Linked DNA regions of Lonchura striata. The protein of the gene in region 2 interacts with the protein of the main gene of each other region in a pairwise test. Links are inferred from orthologs where the notes say so. Each region holds a gene or a part of one and is shown on either strand. Other genes may lie near its edges.

Region 1 (7,001 bases), on a different chromosome or scaffold from region 2:
TAACCCAAAATTTGGAATTTTTTTTAACACAAAAATTTGGATTTTTTAACCCAAAATATTGATTTTTTTAAACCGAAAATTTGGATTTTTTTAACCTCAAAATTTTGAGGTCTTTTTTACCCAAAATTTGGATTTTTTACCCCAAAATTCGGATTTTTTTTTGACCAAAAATTTGGAGTTTTCAACCCAAAATTGGGATTTTTTTTTAAACTGAAAATTTGGATTTTTTAACCCAAAAATTGGAATTTTTTTAACCCAAAAATTTCAAATTTTTTACCCAAAAATTTGGATTTTTTTTACCCCAAAATTTGAATTTTTTACCATAAAACTTGGATTTTTTTTTTACCCAAAATCAGGATTTTTTTACCCCAAAATTTGTAATTTTATTTACCCAAAATTTGCATTTTTTCCCCCAAAAATGGGCACTCACTGATTTTCCGCTCGCGTTCCTCTGGGAAAAAAGGGGAAAAAAAGAAAGAAAATTCAAATTATTTCCAAATTTTTTCCTTTTTTGGGATTTTTTGGGTGGTCTCGGAGCATCCGGGCCCAAAATTGGGATTTTTCCCCCCAAAATCGGCCGCAAAAATGAAGATTTTTGGTTGGACTGACTCAGTTTGGTGCTGGAGTCACCTGAAAAACAGAAAATAAATGAAATTAATTAAATTAAACTAATTAAAATTAAACTTACATTAAATTAAATTAAATTAGAATAAATTAAATTAAATTAAAATTATATTAATTATATTAATTATATTATATTATATTATATTATATTATATTATATTATATTATATTATATTATATTATATTATATTATATTATATTATATTATATTAATAATCTGGGGAAATAAAGAATATTAGAAATAATGAATAAGAAAATTAGTAAATAATAAATGTTCAAATTAATAAATAGCAAAAATATAAAATTATAAATATTAAAAATAGTAAATATAAAAATAAGAAATAATCAATATTAAAAAATAATTAATAGCAAAATAAGTAATAAACATTAAAATTAATAAATAGCAAAATTAATAAATAATAAATACTGAAATTAGTAAATAGCAAAATTAGTAATTAATAAATATTAAAATTAATATTTAAAATGTCAAAGAGTAAGTGGGGAAAAATTTGGGGAAAAATTTGGGGAAAAATGGGGAAAAAATGGGAATAAAATTGGGGAATAAATTTGGGAAAAAATGGGAATAAAATGGGGATAAAGTGGGAAAAATTGGGAATAAATTTGAAATAAAAGAGCAAAAAAAAAAGGGAATAAAACCACAAATTTCACTCACCCAGAGCGGAATTTTCTCCTGGAAAAGAGGAAAAAAAGGGAAAATTTGGGTCAGTTTGGGAAAATTCTGGGAATTGAATCAAATTTTCCTTAAATTTGGATTTTTTGGGTGAAAAATAGGGAAAATTCACCCCAAAATTTGAGGAAAATTTGGGATTTTTTGGGTGAAAAATGTGGGAAAATTCACCCAAAAATTGAGGAAAATTTGGAATTTTTGAGGTGAAAAATTTGGGAAAATTCACCTAAAATTTTAGGAAAATTTGGAATTTTTGAGGTGAAAAATTTGGGAAAATTCACCTAAAATTTTAGGAAAATTTGGAATTTTTGAGGTGAAAAATTTGGGAAAATTCACCTAAAATTATAGGAAAATTTGGAATTTTTGGGGTGAAAAATTTGGGGGAAAATTTGGAATTTTTGGGGTGAAAAATTTGGGAAAAATTTGGGAAAAATTTGGATTTTTTACCCACCCGGTTCCATCTCGTCGCTGCTCCTGGAAAGGAAAAAAATTCGGAATTTTGGGGGGGGTGGAAGAATTTTCCAGGAAAATTTGGGAATTTTGGGTATATTTAAATAAAATAAAATAAAATAAAATAAAATAAAATAAAATAAAATAAAATAAAATAAAATCTTTTCGGGCAGAATTGGGGCAAAATTTTTGGGATTTTTGGGGAGATTTTTGGGGGTTTTTTGGGGGGAATTTTTGGGATTTTGGGGCAAAATTTTGGGGATTTTTGGGGAGATTTTTGGGGCTTTTGGGTATTTTTGGAATTTTGGGGGGATTTTGGGGGGTTTGGGGGATTTTTTGGGATTTCGAGGGGATTTTGGGGGTTTTTTGGGGGGGAATTTTGGGATTTTGGGGGAATTTGGGGGTTTTTGGGGATTTTGGGGTTTTGGGGAGGGTTTTTGACATTTTTGGGGGGATTTTTAGTGGTTTTGGGGAATTTTTGGGTTTTTTGGGGGGAATTTTTTGGATTTTGGGGGATTTGGGGGGGGTTGGGAATATTTTGGGGTTTTGGGGGGATTTTAGGGATTTCGGGGGGGTTTTGGGGGGATTTTTTTGGATTTTGGGTTTTTTGGGGGATTTTGGGGTTCACTCACTGACCGGGACAATTTTGGGGTTCAATTTTGGGGTGCCCGGGGCGAATTTTGGGGTTTTTGGCCGAATTTTGGGATTTTGGGGGATTTTTGGGATTTCGGGGGGGATTTTGGGGGGATTTTTTAGGATTTTGGGATTTTTGGGGGATTTTGGGGGTCACTCACTGACCGGGACAATTTTGGGGTTCAATTTTGGGGTGCCCGGGGCGAATTTTGGGGTTTTTGGCCGAATTTTGGGATTTTGGGGGATTTTTGGGATTTTGGCGGGATTTTGGGGGGATTTTTTTGGATTTTGGGGTTTTTGGGGGATTTTGGGGGTCACTCACTGACCGGGACAATTTTGGGGTTCAATTTTGGGGTGCCCGGGGCAGATTTTGGGATTTTTTGGCCGAATTTTGGGATTTTGGGGGATTTTTGGGATTTCGGGGGGACTTTTGGGGATTTTGGGGCAGATTTTGGGGGAATTTTTTGGGATTTTGGGGTCCCCCGGGGATTTTGGGGGTCACTCACCAGCCGGGACAATTTTGGGGTTCAATTTTGGGGTGCCCGGGGCAGATTTTGGGAATTTTTTGGTGGGAATTTTTGGGGGTTTTGGGGGATTTTTTGGTATTTCGGGGGGGATTTTTGGGGGGTTTTGGGGGGGATTTTTTGGATTTTTGGGGTTTTTGGGGGATTTTGGGGGTCACTCACCGGCCGGGTCAATTTTGGGGTTCGATTTTGGGGCGGATTTTGGGGCCCCGCAGGCCCCGAGGCCGCCGAGCCCGGCTGGAACCGGAGCCGATCCCAAAATTAACCCGGGGGGCGGGGCCCAAAATTTGGGGGGGCGGGGCCCAAAATTTGGGGGGGCGGGACCCAAAATTTGGGGGGAAGGGGCCCAAAATTTGGTGGGGAGGGGCCCAAAATTTGGTGGGGAGGGGCCCAAAATTTGGGGGGGAGGGCCCAAAAATTGGGGGGGTGGGGCTCAAAATTTGGGGGGGTGGGGCCCAAAATTTGGGGAGGGGAGGAGCCCAAAATTTGTGGGTCCCTGTAATTTTTTGGGGGTCCCTGGATTTTTTGGGGCTCCCTGTAATTTTTGGGGGGGTCCCTGGGATTTTTGGGGGTCCCTGAGATTTTTTGGGGGTCCCTGGGATCATTTTTTGGAGCTCCCTGGGATCTTTTGGGGGTCCCTGAGATATTTTGGGGCTCCATGGGATTTTTTGGGGCTCTCTGGATTTTTTGGGGGTCACTTGGATATTTTGGGGCTCCATGAGATATTTTGGGACTCCATGGGATATTTTGGGACTCCCTCTGATTTTTTGGGGGTCCCTGGATTTTTTGGGGCTCCCTGGGATCATTTTTGGGGCTCCCTGTGATTTTTTGGGGGATCCCTGAGATATTTTGGGGCTCCATGGGATTTTTTGGGGCTCCCTGGATTTTTGGGGTCTCTGAGATATTTTGGGGCTCCCTGTGATTTTTTGGGCCTCCTGGAACCTTCCCCGAGACCCCCCCCAAATCCCCGCCTCCATTTTCCGTACACCAAAATGGCGCCGCCTCCTTACTCCCCCCATACCGGCCGCCATCATTCCGTACGGAACTGACGTCACTTCCGCTTCTCCCGGAAGCGGCGCCTCCTCTTTCTCCCCGCCGCCGCCTGAGGGGACGGAGGGCTGCGCGCCGAGGCCGCCGCGAACCCGCCGCGAATCCGCCGCCATCCTCGGCGCCGCCGCCTCCATCGGCGCCGCCATGACGGAGCAGATGACCCTGCGGGGGACCCTGAAGGGCCACAATGGTTGGGTGACGCAGATCGCCACCACGCCGCAGTTCCCGGACATGATCCTGTCGGCGTCGCGCGGTGAGGGCGGCCATGGGGATGGAGGGGGGGGGGGGCACCCACGGGGGAAATGGGGCTGGGGGCACCTACAGGGGAAATGGGGGGGACCCATGGGTGAAATGGGGCTGGGGGCACCCATAGGGGAAATGGGGGGGACCCATGGGTGAAATGGGGCTGGGGGCACCCATAGGGGAAATTGGGGGGTGGGAGATGGGGGGGAAATGGGGCTGGGGGCACCCACGGGGGAAATGGGGCTGGGGGCACCCATAGGGGAATTGGGGCTGGGGGCACCCATAGGGGAAATGGGGCTGGGGGCACCTACAGGGGAAATGGGGCTGGGGGCACCTGCAGGGGAAATGGGGCTGGGGGCACCCATAGGTGAAATGGGGCTGGGGGCACCCATGGGTGAAATGGGTGGGAGATGGGGTGAAATAGGGCTGGGGGCACCCACGGGGGAAATGGGGCTGGGGGCACCCATGGGGGAAATGGGGCTGGGGGCACCCACGGGGGAAATGGGGCTGGGGGCACCCACGGGGGAAATGGGGCTGGGGGCACCTACAGGGGAAATGGGGCTGGGGGCACCCACGGGGGAAATGGGGCTGGGGGCACCCACGGGGGAAATGGGTGGGAGATGGGGGAAATGGGGCTGGGGGCACCTACAGGGGAAATGGGGCTGGGGGCACCCACGGGGGAAATGGGGCTGGGGGCACCCATGGGTGAAATGGGGCTGGGGGCACCCACGGGGGAAATGGGGCTGGGGGCACCCATAGGGGAAATGGGGCTGGGGGCACCCATAGGGGAAATGGGGCTGGGGGCACCCACGGGGGAAATGGGGCTGGGGGCACCCATAGGGGAAATGGGGCTGGGGGCACCCATGGGTGAAATGGGGCTGGGGGCACCTACAGGGGAAATGGGGCTGGGGGCACCCACGGGGGAAATGGGGCTGGGGGCACCCACGGGGGAAATGGGTGGGAGATGGGGGAAATGGGGCTGGGGGCACCTACAGGGGAAATGGGGCTGGGGGCACCCACGGGGGAAATGGGGCTGGGGGCACCCATGGGTGAAATGGGGCTGGGGGCACCCACGGGGGAAATGGGGCTGGGGGCACCCATAGGGGAAATGGGGCTGGGGGCACCCATAGGGGAAATGGGGCTGGGGGCACCCACGGGGGAAATGGGGCTGGGGGCACCCATAGGGGAAATGGGGCTGGGGGCACCCATGGGTGAAATGGGGCTGGGGGCACCTACAGGGGAAATGGGGCTGGGGGCACCTACAGGGGAAATGGGGCTGGGGGCACCCATGGGTGAAATGGGTGGGAGATGGGGTGAAATGGGGCTGGGGGCACCCACGGGGGAAATGGGGCTGGGGGCACCCATGGGTGAAATGGGTGGGAGATGGGGTGAAATGGGGCTGGGGGCACCCATGGGGGAAATGGGGCTGGGGGCACCCATAGGGGAAATGGGGCTGGGGGCACCCACGGGTGGGGGACCCCAAACCCACCAAGAATGGCCCAAACCCACCAAGAATGACCCAAACCCACCAAGAATGATCCAAACCCACCAAGAACCACCTCAAACCTACCAAGGATGACCCAAAACCACCCCAAACCCACCAAAAATGACCCAAACCCACCAAAGATGACCCCAAACCCACCAAGAAGCACCTAAAACCCACCAAGAATGACCCAAACCCACCAAGAATGACCCAAACCCACCAAGAACGACCTCAAACCCACCAAGAATGACCCAAACCCACCAAGAATGACCCAAACCCACCAAGAACCACCTCAAACCCACCAAGAATGACCCAAATCCAACAAGGATGACCCAAAACCACCCCAAACCCACCAAGAGCCACCCCAAACCCACCAAGAATGACCCAAACCCACCAAGAACCACCCCAAACCCACCAAGGATGACCCCAAACCCACCAAGAACCAAGGATATCCATGGAGGTGACACCCCCCGCTTGTCCCCACCCCAGACAAGACCATCATCATGTGGAAGCTGACGCGCGATGAGACCAACTACGGGATCCCGCAGCGGGCGCTGCGCGGCCACTCGCACTTCGTCAGCGACGTGGTCATCTCCTCGGACGGGCAGTTTGCGCTCTCAGGCTCCTGGGACGGGACCCTGCGCCTCTGGGACCTCACCACGTCCGTTTTGGGGTTCCACCTAAAATTTGGGGGTCTTTAGAGAAGGTTTTGGGGTCCCACCAGGGTCAGAATTTGGGTAAATCCCGAATTTTTGGGGTGGGATTGAGAAGGTTTGAGGTGTCCACCATCCTTTCTTCTCTGGGATCTCACTACGTGGGTTTTGGGGTCCCACCAGGGTCAGAATTTGGGTAAATCCTGAATTTTTGGGGTGGGATTGAGAAGGTTTGAGGTGTCCACCATCCTTTCTTCTCTGGGATCTCACCACGTGGGTTTTGGGGTCCCACCAGGGTCAGGTTGTCCCAAAAGTTGGGGAAATTTGGGATTTTTGGGGTGGGATTGAGGTGTCCACCATCCTTTCTCCTCTGGGATCTCACCACGTGGGTTTTGGGGTCCCACCAGGGGTTTTGGGTCTCACCAGCGTCAGATCATCCCAAAATTTGGGTAAATCCCAAATTTTTGGGTCGGAATTTGGGATTTTCGAGCTGCTCGCCCCTCTCCCGATGATTAGACCTGACGTCTCCATCCGATCCCACGGGATCTGACGACACGTCCTGCAATGATGATGGGAGAACATTTCGGGGGAGCAGCCCAATTTTGGGCAAAATTTTGGGGTGTCCCAGACAAGAAGACCATCATTTATGGAAC
Region 2 (6,876 bases):
ATGTTGAAGCAACCTTCTCAGGGCTAAGCCCCCATCAAACTAGGCTTTCAAACTGTAACTGGACAAGACAGCAGATGAGGGGTCTTGAAGGCTGCCTTTCCTAGAAAAGGTTGGACCAGACCATCCTTCCAGCATAGCGTTTCAACCTTGTTCTGTGATGATTCCAAGAACACTAGTACAACACAGTGAGTTCTATCATTTCAACTGTAATACTACCAGAATCTCATTCTGCTGTTCAGATCGGTCTAGATGCTATTTTTTGGTGTTTAATTACTAATAAGTAGAATTAAGTTAGAGGTAGTTATGCCCATAATCGGAGAAGGGAAATCACAAAGAAAATCTAGAAACAAAGTCTTAAGTTTGGTATGTTGTTTTTCTTTTTTTTTTTTTTTTTTTACTAAAAGTTTAGAAATTAGTTTAACAGCTTAGTAATTTTAATCAATATATTTCCCTAAGGAGAGGTGCACTCTTCTAACAATGCATCTGTTATTATAAGCTTCATGACAAACTGTGAGAGTACAAGGACGTTCCCTAGAGGTTGGTCATTCTCAACTGTCAAGATGAGATCTTATATAAAATACAGAAGTTTTGAACCCTATGTAACAAACTAACTTTGTACAGCCCCAATAGAGAGCTGACCCACTCTCTTCCAAAAAAATGCAAGATTTTTCTCTCAACATGCCACTTACTTAACATTTATCAGCTACATCATCACTTGTGTATTTACCCTAACTCAGAGGGTTCTCTGCCATTCAGAGCAGACTTGGCTAAGACAGCACATTCAAAGGAAGAACACACAGTCAAGACCACGTCTTGACTATCCACACTGGTTTAACATCTTAGGCACTGTACTTTTATAGTCTTTACTTCCTAACAAGCCCAAGACAAACACACAAAATCCCAAAGAGATGCTATGTTTAAAGAAGAAAGTGTGTTTTTAAATATAGAAGAGAAATAACTCTTCTTTAAATAGATCTTAATGTCCTTTCACTAAGGGTACTATAGTCAGCAGTCTTTTCTCCATTTCAAATTATCAGGAAATTAAAACAAGGTGCACACGCCTGTTGTCTCTGTATGAGAAAAGAGATTTCTTAACACCAAGCTTGCAGAGAATAATCAAAGACACATCACAGGGCCACTGTGTATTGCCAAGAATGGAGACACTTATCAGCAAGCAGGAGGTAAAGGATGGCCTTCACATACTACCATGCTCACGTGATAGCACGCATCACATCCTACCGTGGTAAGTTACTGATAACCAGCCAGTTCTTGTTCAAGGACTCTTTCATGAGAATTTGAGATTTTGCTGTTCACTAAACAGACTCCTTCAACTGCCATTGACAACCACAGTAAAGCAACCTTAAATAAAATAAGCTGTTATAGTCTAAACATTAGTTTCAGGAGACTAAGTCACACAACTGCAGAGAAATCTGAGAAAGATTAATTTCATATAACTGCCCACAAAGACAGTGATTACTTGTTGATATCTTCCTTTACAAAGGTGCTCCCTACCTAGCACATATTTAGCATTGAAAGATTCTCTGCTCCACAAACTGCTAAAAATGAATCAAGTAAGTGCTGCTGTTTAAAGTGTAGGACTCTAAGCCTAAGCAACAGAATTGGCAGCACCGGCAATAACTTGGAGCAACAACCTCGATTCAAAGACCTTTTTCTAGGGCATTAAAACACACAGTACAATTACTGTGAGTTTAACGGGAGCTTTTACTAGAGGAAGAAAACAACAATAGATTATGTGTTAGGCTTCATTGCTTCCTGCAGGAGAATAAGAATTTACAACTCAAAAGGATTGAGATGTAAACCCCTTGCACATCTTCTGCGCAAAAGATTCTCAATATTTGGAAACAATCCACCAGTTCTAAGATACTTTTGATACTGAATCCAGCAACCTGAAGCTCAATACCGGGTGAGTAGTAACAACCAGACTAAGTCTAGCAATCAGCTCCAAATGCAAGAAGCTATAGCCCACAAAGCCTCCAGCTGCGAAGAGGACTGTGACAGACATTTTAGTACAAAGCCAACTGACTCCCTCTTTTCTCAAGCAGTATTACACATCAGAACCTATCAGCTGACCATTCCTGAGCACCTGCTGAAGAGTTACCCCAGGAAATAAGATTTATTCAAAGGCTCAAATCAAGGCAAAATCAGTGCAGATCCCTGGAGACACTGAAAGGCCAGAAAACTCACAGGTACCAAGAAATCATGCCTGGAAACTTCAGACACTGAAGGATACTGTCCAGGGTGACAAGCAACGAAAGGCAGCAACAGGGCTGCTAAACCAACTTGAAAGCTGCCGATGCCGCAGCGAAGTTGACACTCTTGCACTTGTCTCTTGGGGATATTGCTAAAGTTTTCATTAACATCTTCAAAGGCCCTATGGGCAGAGAGTGCTCGGCAATACCGCGTCGGGACCGTGCCCAAGCATCACTGCTTTCTCTGAGGGGACCTCCATGTGCGTTCACCACAATGACCCCACCACGAGCCAGGATTTTTCATCCCTGCTGTGACAGCGCTCCCCCGCCACGCCAGGGCTGCGAGAGGTCGGCGAAGCGCGGAGCCCCCACGCCGTGGGACCCGCACCGGGCACCGCGGCGCCGGGACCGCTTCCCTCCCTCCCGAACCGGCCGCCGCGGCCCCGCCGCCTACCTGTCTGCGGCGGGGCCGCGGGGGAGGCTGCGGGGCAGCTCCCCGGCTGCTTGCGCTCCCTCTGGGGCTCCTTCTGCGGCTCCCTCCTGCCGCCGCCCGCCCGGCCGCCGGGCGCGGCTCTCCCGCCGCCGGCCGCCGCCTCGCCGCGCTTCTTCCGCTGCTGCCGGAGGCGCTCGACCTCGCGCAGGACGTCGAACGGGTCCGACGCGTCGTCCAGGAGGTAGCAGAAGCGATTGGCGACGGAGCACGCGATGCTCTCCTGCATGACGGCACCCACCGGGCTGCCCAGCAGCCCCGTCATAATCCGCGCGGCCGCCTCGCCTCCCCCGACCGCCCCCCTGCCCCCCGAGGTTGTTTCGGCGCGAGGCCGAAACGACAGCACGCACCGCCGGGCGAGAGCGGCGGCAGCGCCGGCCCGGCCCCGCCGCACCTTGGCGCGGCCCCGCCCCGGCCAGGCCGCTGCAGCCAATGGAGCTCCCCAGCGCTCCCACAGCGCACCCGCCGCCTTTAAGCGCGGCCGAGCCCGCCCACAGCCGGCACGCGCGACCGCGAGCAACAGATCGGCCAATCCCGGCGCCGAGCTCCGCCTCACCCCGCCCCTTGTGCCCAGCTGCGGCCAATTACCGCGCAGGGTCGCAGCTGTCAATCACACCCGCTGACCAATGCGGTGCGCCGCTCTGTTATTCGTCTGGTGCGCGGCCCGCCGCCCCGGCTGCGCCCCGTGCGGGGACGCTGTGTGGCGGCCGCGGTTCGAGGGTGGCGCCGGCACAGCGGTGTCGCCGCGGGTCTTTTGGTACAACCTGCATCCTCTGACAAGTGACACCAACGAAAGAGGCGCTCCCTGCGCTGGGAGTTCCCCAGGGTAGCCCCGCTCCGTCCAGCGAAACCCGGGATGGGGCTCCCATCCGTCACTAAGCCGCCGTGGTGACGGGTTTTAGTGCAGCACGCCTTGTCAGCTGCTCACTGTTCTGGGCCTACTTTTGCTGCCTCAAAATAAAAATGTCTCAATAAATATGGCTAATAGTGACATGCCAGGAGACTCATCAAGGCATTTTTCCGCAGAGGAAAAATGATATTTCTCTGGGCACTGATATTTCGGGCGGGCGCTTCTCTCTTTTATCAGCCACAGTGACAACAAAATCTTAGCCCTTCAGCCACAATTGCCCAAAGAATGGCGATTGCAGTCTTGATTTTTGTGATGAGGCTGTCTTTATTCCAGTCGTTCATGTGAAACTAACATTTCCTCTATCATGATAGCTTCACTGTATATACCACCTTCTTTTGAAATTAATTTTATCCTTACTACGGTAAGTTGAAACTGTATCAAAATTCTTGATATGTTTTGAAAGGCAGGATTAAAGACAGCCCTGTTCTCTCTTCGTTTTTGGATGCTGATAAGTCTGTGGACACCACTGTAAAACAAAATAAGGTGTATCCTCTACAGATTATTCCAAGCTTTGAATATAATCATTGCATCTCTCCTGGCTCTCATGTAGACCCCCTTTTGCAGGCATGCTTACTGCAGAAGAAAACTAATTTAATTGGTCTTAGTGCCCTTTCAAGTTTCAATTTCATTCAAGAGATCACAAACTGTTTTGCATGGAAATAATGACAGTAACTTCAGGCAATTATCTGCCTGCAAAGATCTTTACAAAATCCTGGTAGTGGGAGTCAAATCTCTCAGGCTCTGAAATGTTTCAAATCAAAAGCAGAAAAATATAAGTCAACAAAGCAAAAATATCATTATTCCTGCACAGTTCTTATATTGTAAAATGTAGCTATCCATAATTAAGAAAAATTCATGAAGAAATTTTCAATAATATGATAAAGGAATAAAATACTTTATAAGAAGTGTTCGCTTAATCAACTGTCCTTTCCTCTGAATTGTTGGTTTATTTTTTAGAAGGATTAAATTTCCTGTTTTTTTACTGTGAAGAAGGAACTGGAAAGGTATGTTGTCCTGTACTAATCTGGAGAAAGACATTAACAACATCACATTACTACAGCATATTAAAAATATCACCAAATATTTGCAGATTCTTTGGAGCATTTTGGTATCAATTGCAGCATCTACACTAGATTTCCTCAGCACACATTGTATCCAGAACGTTTTTTAGAAATTTTAGAGATATTTTTATTTCAATATTCTACAAGTTTGAATCAAGGTTATGCTGTATATGAAAGATAACAGACAACCATCACTGGTCAGTGCTATTACTGACTATAATGTCCTTGCAGCTTTAATAGGTACTTTGAAGGTCACAGCGTCTTTGGAGAAGGATGACTATGAGGAATTCAGATATATTTCAGCAGTAAGATTAGAGATTTGGTGTTCCATGGGCCTTTTTTTGTGAAGACTCAAAGGAGAAAAAAAAGACTGCTCAGAGAGATTCCACAACGACAGCCAAAACCAGTGTTTGCTATAAATATATATTGTCTTTATATGTATAATTTTGATTCCTAAAATGAATGTAAATATTTAGAAAAATCCTTAATTTTCTGATGTTCTGAGTTGTCAATCAAAAAAAAAAACTTCTGTAAGAGATTCCAACCTCCAATCTGATTAAAAGTCTTGCATGACAAATGAAAGTACTTTTCAATCCCTTTTTTGCTTGCAGCTGTCAGGAAAATTAATCCAAAATGCCAGAGGTTTTTACTCCAGCTATGGAGTCCCATAGCTTTTTCAAGAATAAAAGGAGAATTGCTGGGGGATGCATCCTCCTTTTTATCCTAATTCCTCAGCCCCATTTCCTTCTCTCTTTCCCTATTGTCTTAGGTACCTGAGAGGTACAGACTTCCCAAATCACCTAATACAGACCCTCTTCTAATGAGAATCCTCCCCCCCTTCCCTTTTCTTTGTTTCTCTGTTCTTTTTCTCTAACTCCAGGAATTTAGCGTGGCCTTGGGTGAGTAACAGTCCTCCGGAATTTATGGTTTCTACTATTGCTTCTTTCACCTATCAGTACCTGGCTCTATCTAACAGCAGGCCCACAGTTTGTTTGTAAAAACTCCCTCTCATTCCTTTCACAGCTTTTCGCTATGTGCAATCAGTGTGTGATTGTCGAGTTACATACTTACACAAACAATGGAGAAAGAAGGAAAACCTGAATTTTACTGTCAAAGTGTAACCAAATGCTCTGTCTGGAATTTTATACCAAAAATTAATAGTGATGGCTTCAGCATGATTACATATTTGCAAGACTAAATCTCATAGTTGTAGTACAAGGCATAACCTTTCTGACAACAGATGACTCATGTTAAGTGAAGATGAGGGCTGCCTACCTAAGTGGCTGCTCCACATTCTCCCCACAAGTGGATTTTTCACACAGAACAGCACCCTACACAATGTTGCCTAGCAGGTGTAGATATGGGATATGGCATCTTTACCAAAACAGCCCTTGCTTATTTTTTTCCTTTTTTTTTTAAAGGTGCAAAAGTGCCTAATTACAAGAGACAGAATTGAGAATGGTGATTGGTGTTTCTCTGACCTTTGCATCTAAGCACCTAATCACCAGCAAGGGTCATCCCGTTCTTGACCTTTCGTACAGACACATTCTTATCCCTGGACATTTCATTTTCTAGTGCCACAGCTCTCCTGCCTGAGGGAAACACATCCTGAACACATCACATGTCGCTGTTGAGGCAGGACGGGAACAAAAAGACTGCAATTCAGAAGACAAGAAGCAAACTGATTTATTTAAAATACACTGCTCTTTCTATAGGGAACATCGTGCAGACCAATTTCATTGGTCTTAAAGTAAAAACATCTCACATCACTGGCATGTGCTGAATGACACACAGTGGTAGAACACATCTATAAACAATGTGAACAACAAGAGAGACAGAGAATTATTTACATTCCTTTGAAACTCTTTCCCAGGCCTAGCCTGGCAGAAACCTCTCATTTTCTCTCTGAACTGAGAATATCCATAATCACATGGCTCAAGGTGCCATTCTGGGACAGGGCACCAGAACAGGTAAAGAGAGTAACACTGTGGATCTAGCTATTGCATCCAGCAACACAATTCTACTAAGCAAAATTGACTACCTGAAGTCTTGAGCCAAAAAAGAGCTGCATCACTAAAGATGGACATGCTTATAGAGGAGTACACCTAATGCTAAGAGCTTTGTGTGTGAGCTGGACATTGTGCCCTGGCTGGCAGCAAATAGTTGGAGCCCCAACAAATAAGTCAGGAACAGGCACTGACCTTC

The links.
Region 1: the proteins of HABP4 (region 2) and RACK1 interact in a two-hybrid assay, tested with the Homo sapiens proteins (2 studies listed by BioGRID). The link is inferred for Lonchura striata from reciprocal best matches to the Homo sapiens genes HABP4 and RACK1.

Annotation. Positions count from the first base shown.
Region 1 is NC_134631.1:305,187-312,187, forward strand, and holds the start of RACK1 (small ribosomal subunit protein RACK1), read left to right. Parts: upstream 1-4,001; 5' UTR 4,002-4,113; coding exon 4,114-4,222; intron 4,223-6,184; coding exon 6,185-6,356; intron 6,357-7,001. Other genes in the region: uncharacterized protein LOC144247616, read right to left, coding at 431-451, 1,764-1,773. UniProt on the Homo sapiens protein: Scaffolding protein involved in the recruitment, assembly and/or regulation of a variety of signaling molecules. Interacts with a wide variety of proteins and plays a role in many cellular processes.
Region 2 is NC_134642.1:10,457,268-10,464,143, forward strand, and holds the start of HABP4 (intracellular hyaluronan-binding protein 4), read right to left. Parts: upstream 3,005-6,876; 5' UTR 2,966-3,004; coding exon 2,665-2,965; intron 1-2,664. UniProt on the Homo sapiens protein: Ribosome-binding protein that promotes ribosome hibernation, a process during which ribosomes are stabilized in an inactive state and preserved from proteasomal degradation.